Neodiprion lecontei: one gene and its partner. The protein of the gene in region 2 interacts with the protein of the main gene of each other region in a biochemical or structural test. Links are inferred from orthologs where the notes say so. Each region holds a gene or a part of one and is shown on either strand. Other genes may lie near its edges. The genes, in order: signal transducing adapter molecule 1 and ubiquitin carboxyl-terminal hydrolase 8.

Region 1 (7,679 bases), on a different chromosome or scaffold from region 2:
TTTCAGCTAATCAAATCTTTTATCTGTTTCAGTTAATCAAACTTTTTGTCATTTTCAGCTAATGAAACCTTTTGTCTGTTTCAGCTAATCAAACTTTTTGTCTGTTTCAGCTAATCAAACCTTTTATCTGTTTCAGTTAATCAAACTTTTTTTCATTTTCAGTTAATGAAACCTTTTGTCTGTTTCAGCTAATCAAACCTTTTGTCTGTTTCAGCTAATCAAACTTTTTGTCTGTTTCAGCTAATCGAACCCTCCGTCTATTTCAGCTAATCAAACCTTTTATCTGTTTCAGCCAAGCAAACTCTCCCTCTATTTCAGTTAATAAAATTTTTTGTCGTTTTGAGCTAATCAAACGTTTTGTCTGTTTCAGCTAACTAAACTTTTTTCACTTTCAACTAATCAAACCTTTTATCTATTTCAGCTAATCAAACTTTTTGTCTGTTTCAGTTAAGCAAACCTTTTGTTTGTTTCAGCTAATTAAATTTTTTGTCTATTTCAGCTAATCAAACTTTTTGACTGTTTCAGCTAACCAAATCTTCTGTCTGTTTCAACTAATTATTTTGTTTTTTTTTCGTTAATTATATTTTTTACTTATATAAGCTAAGTATATTTTTGTTTGTATCGACATATGTCACTCATTATGTTTTCGTCTGTTTCAGGTAACTGAGTTATTTTGACTATACCGAAAAATTAACGTTTAATTTTTTAGGCTTAGGTCTGGTTTAGGGTCAGTCATCTTTTTTTCACCGATACATAGATTTAGCGATGTAGTTCAGACTCATCACGATCACAAAATGTGGTAAAATTTATTCAGCTGTAGAATTTTATTAACGGTTTTACAGTCTTTTATTGTGATCGTTTTAGTGTCAGTCTTACAGCGATTCGTGTTTTCGATATTGGTTTAGTTGTCGATTGTTTTGCGTATCCACCATGTTCTCCATTTTAGGGATTATCTCATACCTCATAACAAAAAAAAAAAACCCGTGCGCGAACTTCCAAAGTCAATCGCCGTTCGTCTATAAGATAAAAACAATCACCGTTCATCCATAATCAAAACAACCATTTTTCATCTATAATTAAAACAGTCATCTTTCATCAATAATAAATAGTCACCGGGTGATATGAACTGAAAAATTTCAAACAAACTGCAAATATACGCGAGTACAAATTGATTGGAAAAAACAATTTATCATAATTAATATCTGAAAGAAAAGATTTTTCGAAGAACGTAAGATCGATCTTGCAAGTATTCTCCGTGGAGTAGGCCTACTGGGGAAACCACGTAAAAAAAAACGCGCCCGGTGCTCTACCGCTTGTGGTGGTGTGGAAACGAGCATAAGTGTACTTATTTTCACTGGTCAAATACTCATTGTAGTTTTTCAAATAACAATTTTCTTCTTGCGTAAATTTAACTCATTGTCAATAAAAACTAATGTCAGTTAAATTATTTTCATATGTCCGCTTCATCTTGTATCGGAATAAAGATATGAGCGTTGACTGAAGATACATATTACTATCTTCAGTTAACGGTACGAGCTAAGTATTAAACATATGAACAGAAATTACATAAGGTACATATAGGAACAACTATATATCTCCATCCTTTGATTAACTTCTTCGACTATGTCTCCCATCCTTTGCATCGAGAAAAAGTTTCCAACTCTGTCAACAGTAAACCAGGTGCATGTTTATTGTGCATCTATTTAGATAACATTATTTTTGTCGATGCGATGGAGTTAGATTGATATTGCTGAATTTGGACCATATGAATTTGCATAGTTGAAAACTATGCGGCGTCCATACGGGGTTATTTGAAAATTTTAGTGTTCCCGTTCGTCATTCCGTAGGCGTAATAATACTCCACTCTGCATTATCTGGGTACACGCGGTGAGCGACGGTAACATCAGTTCGTGTCCCCTCTACTTATCGACCATTTGCCGGATTGGGTTGCGCGTGTAGAGGATGACGCAGAGGGCGCTGCTTGACGATGAATTTATGTCGGCCATTTTAAATTACGAAAAGCCCCATAAAGCTAGCAGTCTTTATGAATCTTCAGTCCATGCTTCAGTCAACGCGACCAAAATACCATATATGGAAAAAACCCGACAGGTAGTACTTTGCAGTATTTTGCAATTGGTACATTCGCTGGCTCCCTCTGCCTAAGGACTTACAATGTAAGTGACTTGGTCGATAATCGTTCGACCATGACTCGCAGCACGAGCGTCGACCCGATTCGATAATAAAATGGCAGCGCAGTGCTCGAGATTAGGATGTTATTAGTCACCCAACTGTATTTATGATTAAATATCAGCTGGATGCGTAGTAAAACGTAAACGGGAAACTCGTGATACTGAACGGTACGATTCCGCAGTTGCGTGAAGTCTACGTGATAATCAACTTAATACACAATTAAACCAACTACGTAACAATGGGACTTTTCTCAAATTCACCGTTTGACGCTGACGTTGGTAAGAGTTCATCTACCCCTCCCAAACTTAATTTAACTTTCTGTCGACGTTAATTATGTATATTGTATTTAGAAGCACTACTTTTCTTTGCAAGATATTCATCGCGATTCGTTTCTATCACAACGCTATTATTGCGTATGAACATTGAACGCCTAAATAAGTGCATCTGATTTCTCCCCCCTTTGTATTCAATCAGTTGTTAGTCAATCGAGTTGGTTGATCAACTGTCTTCTTTGACATGTGGAATCTCGATGAAAATTTGGCATTGTGTAGACTCTAATAGCATCCCCAATCACTCATGTGTTCCATAGCCAGCTATAAATATCGGATGAATCTGTGAATTGCAATAGTTAATCTGTATTTGTTAATATCATGTTGCATTCCAGAAAAGGCAACCAATGAAAAAAATACGTCTGAAGAATGGGGTTTGATAATGGATATATGCGACAAAGTAGGCAACTCCAGCCAGAATGCCAAAGATTGTCTTCGCTCCATTGTCAGGAGGCTAAATGCTCAGGATCCACACATTGTTATGCAAGCTGTGACAGTTAGTATTAGCTCTCGCTAAATAATTACCAAAGAACAATATATATTTCAAATAATTCAGAGAATACAAATACGCCTTTCATCATTTCAAATTTCTGAACTTTCTTATAAAATGTAGCTATTGGATGCTTGTGCGAGCAATTGTGGGAAGACATTTCACTTGGAAGTAGCATCCAGAGATTTTGAAGGCGAATTGAGAAGGTTGATAGCACGTTGTCAACCAAAAGTAGCCGAAAAGCTAAAATCGCTATTGAAGAAATGGGCTGAAGGAGATTTTAAGACGGATCCACAACTTAATTTGATTCCTAGTTTATACAACAAATTAAAGAGTGAAGGTTTGGATTTCTCATCTGTCCCAGAAATGGTAAGACTCATTATAGCTTAAGATCACATTTGCTTACTTGACTTCAGAGACTTGGTTACGAAGTGGTGTGATGCATACTACAATGTACATTGATAATTAATGACAAAAGCAGTATTGAGAAAAGGATTTATCTTTGTGGATTTACGTGTGTACTAAGAGTTCAATTTCATTAGATAACATATCTGTATCACGAATGAAGCATATTTATATGTTTGCAATTGATTTGAATTCTGAACTAATGAATCAGCTTTGTTCGTTTTCAATTTCCACACAATACAAATGTTGTATGTAAATAATCAAGATGCATTGAAATACAAGTATACACACATATGTAAGTTAACAGTAAACGCTGCGTATTTACAACTGATAACATATACATACATTGAAATTGACTAAGCTATTCAAACCTATTTAGTGTCAGTAATACGGAACCATCAAAACTGGCAGATCATGTTTTTGCAATAATAACATTCATTTGTAATTAAAATTTTTTAGCCTAAACACACAGCTATCAGTAGGGATCCAAATGTTGTAACCAATTCTCAGGAAGAAGAAGACATAGCGAAAGGTAAGTAATAGTTGTAATGGTCTTACAATTAGCAAGACAGTTGTATATCACTGATTTTCTAATTTATTATTACTTTTCTGAAATGAAAATCAGTCGTAACTCTTATTACGTGTTTTTTTGTTTTCATTTTTTCCTACCAGCAATAGAACTTTCGTTAAAAGAGAACAAGCAACATCATCATTCTACTATCTCGCATAGTTCACCATCGACAAAGAAGTCTAGCAGTTTATATCCTAGCGTCAGTACAGCGTTGAGTTCAGCTAGTAGTACAGATGGAAGAAAAGTTCGAGCTCTATACGATTTTGAGGCAGCTGAAGATAACGAGCTGACATTTTTAGCTGGGGAAATAAGTAGGTATCATTAAGCTTGATTCATATTACAATGAAAGTTCGTTTTCAATTTTTATTCTGACTCTTACAGTTCACATTCTCGATGATACCGATCCGAATTGGTGGAAAGGAACAAATCACAGAGGAGAAGGCTTGTTTCCATCTAATTTTGTCACTGCGGATTTATCCGTGGAGCCCGAACAATTTACAAGTAAGAAACACCCAGAATCAAGATCACAGAAACACCACTGTTGATTGGCTGTGAATACTTTCAACTTTATCTTTACAGAACTGGAACACGGCAATAAAAAGTCCGTGCAATTTGCGGAAGAAGTTGAAGTGAAGACGGTCAAACATGAGCCAGAGATAATCGAGGTTGAAATTGATGAACCTAAAATGGACCGACTTCTCCACCTGCTACATGAGGCCGACCCTGAATGCGATTCGACTGACACGCAGGAAATGTTAGATTTGGAAGGTACAGAAGTTGTCTACAATATTTTTCACTTCATTTTAACATGATTAATTTTTCGAACATCGGATGTTTTGCATTTTTTCAGAACAAGTTACAGCTATGGGACCGCTTATAGATGCGGCTCTGGAGAAGGTCGATAGGCGACACGCCCAACTAACGCAATTAAGCTCGGACCTGGTGGATGCTCTTAATTTGTATCATACGCTAATGAGGGAACCACCACCTCCGACCCCGACGAATTACACATTACCAAAAATGCCTCCAACCCACGTCAACACTTACCAATTTCCAAACCAAGGACCACCTCCACCTCTCGTTAGTATCTCATCTTCGCTCGCAGTTTTCTCTTTCAATAATTAACTGCTATGAGGACATACCGAGGCGGTTGAAACGCCCTATTGTCAAATGAAAACCAGTGAATGCAAAAAGGAGCTGCATACCAGTGCAATTGCTAATATGCATCCACCACTTGATTTGACTGACTTCCATTTTATAGATGTATAATGGTATGCCTCAGCAGCCTTCATTCAACACAGGGGGTATGCCTCCAGGAGCATATCCACCTGGTATACCTGGGAGCGAATACATGGCTCCCGGAAACATGGGAAACGTGAATTTACCGCGTTTTCACATGCAGCCTGGCCCGCCACCTTCTGGTCATCCTCAGGGCCTACCACCGCCACCTGACCGAACAAATCTACCTTATCCTCAACAAGGGTAATATATTGCTCTCTTTTTTTCCTCAATGTGAATTGTGCAAAATCTAATTTTTCATATAATTTCATGGTAATGTAATGTTACCTTCGGTTTATACTTGATAAAATTTTCCCAAAAAGGTTTCCATCACAAGGTGCTCCTGCAGGAGGATCTTACGCTGGGCCACCAGGGCCTTCAGTAAATCAACAGCCTCAATATGCTCCTCCAAATGGACAGCATATGATGTAAGCAAAGATATAATACGACGTTCCAAAAAAAATTCCCTTGTATTCTACTCAAGTTGTATAATATTATTATCATGAAGATTATTATTATCATTATTACTATTATTTAAATAAGTACGCCCAATGTAGTCAAAAAGCCTGGGTTTCGATATTCAAATCAGAGACTTATGTGTTAATTTTGTTTTCGTATTTCGTTGCCTCGAGATTTTAGTTCAGGTTCCGTTTTAAAATGTCTGACTTGGTGTTTTTTTTAATAAATGCATATTGCATTAATTGTGTATCTGCCTATCACTGTACATTAGATGTTTTCCGTAATCTTACAATTATTCTTATTTCCAACATGAAATTCACAACACTACGTATATGGTGGTCAGAACTGTAAAGAATAATATTTTTTAACATTTTGAATACGAAGTGAACCGTTTCGGAAGACAATGTCGGTAATATATCTAATTAATTTCGATCGCGAATTAATAGACCTTGAAGGTCATGCTGATACCTAATTTATCATATGGTCCTATGTGAAATGAAAATTAACATAGGCAGGAAACTGAAGTAAACGACAGAAGTAGAATACGCTGAACGTAAGAAAAATTATTATTTAACTTCGTATGTAGCTATAATTTACTAATACTATTATCCCAATTATGTTCTATATTAAAACATAAGAGATAAAAGTTGGTAAAGCTTCTATAGTTTGCTTAAGTTAGTTTGAAAGTGTATACAAACCACAAGAGGCTTGGTCGCCTAATGCTGTATAAAAAAAAATTATGTAATAATCAATATATTTAAATGGATCGATGGCAGTTTTGTGGAAATGTATGCTGGTTGCGTCTAGTCTAAAATTTGCCCGATGCTTAATCTTTTTTTTTTCTTTGTGATAATGTACAATCGACGCGTTAAACGCTTGGCTGGGATTATTTACGTTCTGTCTGAGAGGGACTAATACAGTGATGACAGTAAAATCGATTAATTAAAACTGCAAACTAAGACAAAGACTGAACTGTCTTTTATTGAGAGTTTCCTTGCCAATATCAAAGCCAGTCAGCCAGTCAAGTGATTGCAATTTCAGCTAATAGATAATATATGCATTTCCTATTGCACGAGAAGAGCCGGTTGCGATAAAATGAAGCTAGTTCAAGTACAGAAATCTCACTTTAAAGTAACAATCACACATATATACATATATACATATATATATATATTTTGAGAAAATTACGACTGGCGTAAGTTTCGTGTTTTTGTAAGTACTTGGTATAATATGTAAATTATAAATAAAAAACAGTGAATACAAGTCCTTATAAGTTACAAGTTAATGTAAACGATACTGTGAAATGTATACCTATGTTACGTTGCCATTGAATTACAATTATTTACGTAAATCACAGCCTATCCATTTATACTTTCCACATCTATTTCCTTGGAACAGATTCCCACTGTGTTAGTTATTATCTGAACTTTTCAAAGGCCTAATCTCCCCTATCTCCCATGCGGTTATGAATAATGATTAGACAATACTATTGTTGTTCACAGAATAATAACAAACACTTTATCTCGACAATGACATTTATTTGATTCATCCTATTATTTGTCCTTGGCATTTACTGTAAAGACGTCAGAAAGGATCCGTTGCTAAAGCAATACGGATTTTGATGATAAAATCAACATATTTTCGGATCATCAAAACTCGTTGCAAATTATCCACACGTAGGAAAAAATATTCCAATCACCACACAAAACCATGATGCGTGGTTTTGCTGAAACACAATATGTAAGTAATACCGCGAGTAATTGAAATGCTTGATATATTACATACAGCTGAAATCTCGATTATCTTGTTAATTGGGAAATTCGCGGCGATTTTATGAGGTGTTTTAAATGCACCTGACCTTCACGAGTATCATTTACATATTTATATACATCATGCAGCAGAAATTGATGCAACCACGTAATATCGTCCAACGCGTGGAAAGTAGGAGGTCGATCGA
Region 2 (4,921 bases):
ATATTCCTCAGCACGTTCAATTGATTGGTTGATTGTAACGAGGCTTTAGTGGACTGCCAATCTAACAATACTATCAGATCGCAGTATTCCCGAGCTCTGTGCCGAATAACTCGACATGTTCTCTCATCCCCGTTCAATCGTTTAAAAAGATCGGTAGCTAGTATTCTGAAATATTAGAAATACTAGAAATAACCAGCGACATGTTTCATTCGTTTAATAAATAACAATTCAAGAATCAGTATGAAGACTGGGTGTATTTGGGAATAAAAAAAAAAAAAAATACCGGGTTTTTCTAGAATTTCCCAGTGAAAAATATGTTTCTCCCAAGTGCCTAGACATAGATTATTGATATTACTCTGCATATCGAGGAAATTACAAGCCTTTTATATACTTTTATAACATCGCGCTTTAATTTTCATGAATGTTATTTATAGCTTGCAAAATACGAAATTCTATCAATAAAATTTGAGATCACAGGAATGCGTGCGGGAGCTTTTCATCACCATGTTAAGAATTTCAGGGTACATTGATAATTTAAATGTGTAAAATATTTTAGAACCTTTATTTTCACATCAGGTTCATCGTATGTCTAATGGTATAAGGATGTATGTGTCATTATACGAGCTTTTACCACATGTAAAGATAAAAAGGCATATTTTTTTTCCTCGATCGTATTTAAGCGAAAAATATGAGCATACATTCGAAAACATTGAAATTCAAAAATGTAGTTAATGTAGAGCGTCGTACGTACGGTCGGTATGCCCTTTAATCACAAAGTTTATGAAAAATAATCATGTTCTCTAATGGTGTAAGGTCGCATTTTCCCACATACAACCTTATACCGTTGCGTATGATGTTATTTTTTGAGAAAATAAAAATTTTAAACATTCTTCCCAAAATAAATGAATCTTTACTTTTCAAAGATTTTTAAAGCGTTTGCAAGAAAAAATAAATTGGCGAATACGCCCTTGTACTGTTATGTCCGATATAATTATTTGTGAAAAAAAAATTTTTATCCTTTCCGAAATCAATAAATCTTTACATTCGAAAGGTTTTCAAAGCTTTAAAATAAGTTGGCGAATACGATCTTATACCCTTACGTCCAACCATATTTTTTGACAAAAGACGCAATTGTAAATTTTTTTTCAAAATTGAGAAATCTTCATATTTTGAAGGGTTTTGCATTGGTCGCGAAAAAAACACAAAAATGGCGGATGCAACCTGATATCATTTATAAGTGTGATAAATAAAAATATTTTTTGGTGCAAAAGGGCATATCCACCAAACAGAGGGCCATTAACCTCTGTAATTTTTACGTCTAATTTTTTAACAGATTTTTTCTTCCGAGAAATTCGCATCTTTGGTGCATATGTCTTTATACCATTAGACAAACGATATTATTACACTATGTCAACCAGGCATAATGGGAAAAAATTTTTCTAAACAAAACATGAATTGTGCACTAATTGTGCAAAATTTATCTTACTATCACAGAGTACCAGAAAATTTCAGTTTTTCCCCAGTAAGAAAAATTTCTGGCATTTCTCCAGTGCGTATACACCCTGGAAGAGTATCTCATTTAAAGCCAATGAAAACTGTGTGTTTACCCAGTCTTTATTAGGTCAGTTGGAATGTTTATGCATTGATCGCTTCTGATATGTGAATTTTGAAAATCTCCTCGCGGTCTAATATCAATTATTATTATTCGATCAACCAGTTTTTGCATTTCTTGAAACATCTCCATGCATGTTATCGACGTTTCAGTCAGTTTGGTATCTGGGTCATCCGTCGGTGTGTCGGGTAAATTCAGCTCGATATCCCCAACTTCATTTAACAAATCATCATCGTTCATGTGATCGCTTTCAATTATCACCTTTTCAACAGTATTCAGTATCTGTTTAGTATTCTCTTCCAATCGTTTCACCTTATACCTGTTTTTCAATCTGTCAGCAATTTCCTCCAAAAGACTTAGTATCTCCTTTACCTGTAAATCACACACACTTAGCTGCCTAATTTAAGTAATGATTTTCGAAAAATCAATACTGCTCAAAAGTCAAGCAATTTTTCCTAAAAGGTATGAGGGCTGGATAATGTACTATTAAAAAAAAATGTTGGAAATAGGTCAACCTAACATTTTCTGCCATCTACCAAAATCTATAACTTTTGCCCAGGATTACCTTAGACCCCGAAACATAAGGCTTGAGAAAATCTTTGTTTTCTGTAAAATCAGGCGTTTTTTGGAGCCAGCGAATGCAGTGAATCCATCGCATATAAACTATATAAGCCATTTCATCATCTCCAGTCAATCTGTGTTTCTTTCCTTCATCCAGTAATTTTCCCAAAGATTTGCATACCATCTTAGGATTTTTTTTTTCGAATTTAACTTCTGCTTGGCTCGTTAAATCTTCGAAACATGTGGCACAATGAAGCGGACAAGTGGGTACAGTACTTGGCATTGTCACTGTAGGATTCTGTTTTTAAATTAAAAAGTCAGTCGGGTCTTCTGCTTAACCAACGTTTGAAACAGACGATTTGGAAATTGAGGTTCGTACAACTAGTTATTCCAATGATCAATTGAAAGTTGCACCGACATCGTGAAGTTTCATGAAAATTGGTACACATTGAACACGGTTCAACATGTTTTAATAACTTTTTTTTTATATAATACGAACTAAAAAATCGGTATCTGTGAGTTTGGGATAAAGCCAAGCTTCTATTAGTTGACTGTATTTCGAGGATTCTACAGATCCGATCATTACAAATACGTAGTATGCCTCATGAAAGGTATGTACGTCACACAACATTGGTGGTTATAGAAACGGTGACATTTGCTTTCACGTCTCTTTCGTCGTTGATTTGAACATACTAGTGTTTTAACAGTGGAAACAGAAAGATACAGTTACCCGCAACTCCCAACTGACAGGTGACAAATAATTAAAGTCAACGCAGGTAATCGAAGGCACTGAAATATACTCCACCTCAAACGCGTACCGCGCACACGGAGGTATTCAACTGGATCTGACTATATCACGGTCTTAATGCATCAGCAGCAAAAATGCTCTGATTGGTCAATTATGCTATCGGTTTTATGCCTAACTACAATTGTTTCAATTTTCCTGAATAAGCGGTCGAGTTATCAAACATTGCAATTGTGTTATCAAACACCTGTAAATGACCAACGATTGCCAGTATGAGGAATGGAATACAAAGCAATTTAGTGTTGAATGAGGAGCTGTCGTACGATGGTCGTACGTTAGGTGCGCCTGGATTGGGCAAACTCCGGGGACTATTGCATAACTACCCAGGCAGCATTCTGTTCACGGACCTCAACACATCCGTAGCATTTCATGTAGCATCCGATCATGAAAGACCGTGTTCGGCAGCACTTTGCGGCAGAATTAAGGCTGGAGCACATAAAATTACAGAGGCCATAGGCAGAATGCAGAAGCCGTAGCACATGCGCAATTGCAAAAGGCCAGTCCGTATGGTTTATGCATTCTGCCTATGGATTATGGATTTCAATCTACATAAAGATCCATAAGCCATATTCCATGGCATATGGCATAACGAACAAGAATTATTGGTGTGACAAATTTGACAGCAAACGGCGGGAAACACGCGACTGAATGCATATTTTTACTTCCTGAGGCATATAAACCAATTGGTATATATCACCTCATATTATACATGTATTTGATGCGGTAACTATGGGTTTGAAGTTATATTTCGTAACATCAGATGCTTTTGTAGAGTTTCGACTGCTTTTTTACATCCATGTGAGTACTTATATCCTTATTTTTTCAATATTGGTAAGCTTTAGGTTATATTTTTCTGACGATATTATTCTTTCCACGCACTTTATAAGAACACATGTCTCTATTTCGATTTGTGATTTACGGCAATTTTTTACCGTACTATTAATAGTCTTATATTATCGAATTCCTTCATATCATCTGTGTAATTTGGATATTTTTTTCACATATTATTATCATCTTCTTAATATATATAAATCTCGTGTCACGATGTTTGTCCTCAATGGACTCCTAAACCACTTAACCGATTATAATAAAATACGCACACCATGTGCAGTTCGATCCAACTTGAGAGATAGGATAGTTTAAATCTCAAATTATAGTCGCAATTATAATATATTGCTAATTATTTGTCTGTTATTATTTGACAGTCACAATTATCTGTCAACTCCGAATGATTCTAACAGATGTCGATACCTTTCGACTGGGTTGAGTAAGTAATCAATAGATGGCGCTGCTATGGTAAATCTACGAACGTGTAACATCCGACCGGAACGTCCGTATGTTTTATCGACTATTATTACTGCATGTTACTTTTATCAACTAACCAAACTCGAAGTACGAGAATCTTGTAACCATAAGAAATTAAAACAACTGTCTAACTATTTGGAATATCCCTAGATGGAAATAACTATGAAATTCACTAGCCAAGGCTTAAAAACCATGTTACGAGATCTTCGTACCACAGAGAACTATAATACTATTATGCGTTATTATATATCACTATCATATTAACACTATAATTAACTAACACAATTATACTCAATTATTATATAGCACTCAACAATGCCATTTGTGCATTCGGAGGTGAGAGCTATACTATAAGCAACATACGCTTTACTACATAGCCCGGAGTATAGAAGATTGTAAAACCATAGATAAATGCATAACCAATATAATGTAAAGATAGCACTGCTGCAATAACCCATAAAACCAGAGACTGCAAAACCATCAAACCGTGAATGCTAATTACCCAGCATGAACTATACCTTCTTCCGCAACGCCGTATTGTAGGCAACACGCGCAACGTTTTGAAGGCAATGCAGATCTCCAATGTGGAGCCATACAGGGCCTTACCTAGAGAATACATTAGGAAACTTACCGACGAA

The links.
Region 1: the proteins of ubiquitin carboxyl-terminal hydrolase 8 (region 2) and signal transducing adapter molecule 1 form a complex in vitro, tested with the Homo sapiens proteins (2 studies listed by BioGRID). The link is inferred for Neodiprion lecontei from reciprocal best matches to the Homo sapiens genes USP8 and STAM.

Annotation. Positions count from the first base shown.
Region 1 is NC_060261.1:32,829,521-32,837,199, forward strand, and holds signal transducing adapter molecule 1, read left to right. Parts: upstream 1-1,850; 5' UTR 1,851-2,428; coding exon 2,429-2,468; intron 2,469-2,854; coding exon 2,855-3,015; intron 3,016-3,132; coding exon 3,133-3,378; intron 3,379-3,873; coding exon 3,874-3,946; intron 3,947-4,086; coding exon 4,087-4,296; intron 4,297-4,366; coding exon 4,367-4,486; intron 4,487-4,564; coding exon 4,565-4,753; intron 4,754-4,835; coding exon 4,836-5,065; intron 5,066-5,246; coding exon 5,247-5,467; intron 5,468-5,586; coding exon 5,587-5,695; 3' UTR 5,696-7,073; downstream 7,074-7,679. UniProt on the Homo sapiens protein: Involved in intracellular signal transduction mediated by cytokines and growth factors. Upon IL-2 and GM-CSL stimulation, it plays a role in signaling leading to DNA synthesis and MYC induction. May also play a role in T-cell development.
Region 2 is NC_060265.1:31,615,490-31,620,410, forward strand, and holds the start of ubiquitin carboxyl-terminal hydrolase 8, read right to left. Parts: upstream 3,146-4,921; 5' UTR 2,904-3,145; exon of another isoform or gene 2,553-2,903; intron 2,472-2,552; coding exon of another isoform or gene 2,457-2,471; coding exon 2,178-2,456; intron 1,985-2,177; coding exon 1,608-1,984; intron 166-1,607; coding exon 1-165. UniProt on the Homo sapiens protein: Hydrolase that can remove conjugated ubiquitin from proteins and therefore plays an important regulatory role at the level of protein turnover by preventing degradation. Converts both 'Lys-48' an 'Lys-63'-linked ubiquitin chains.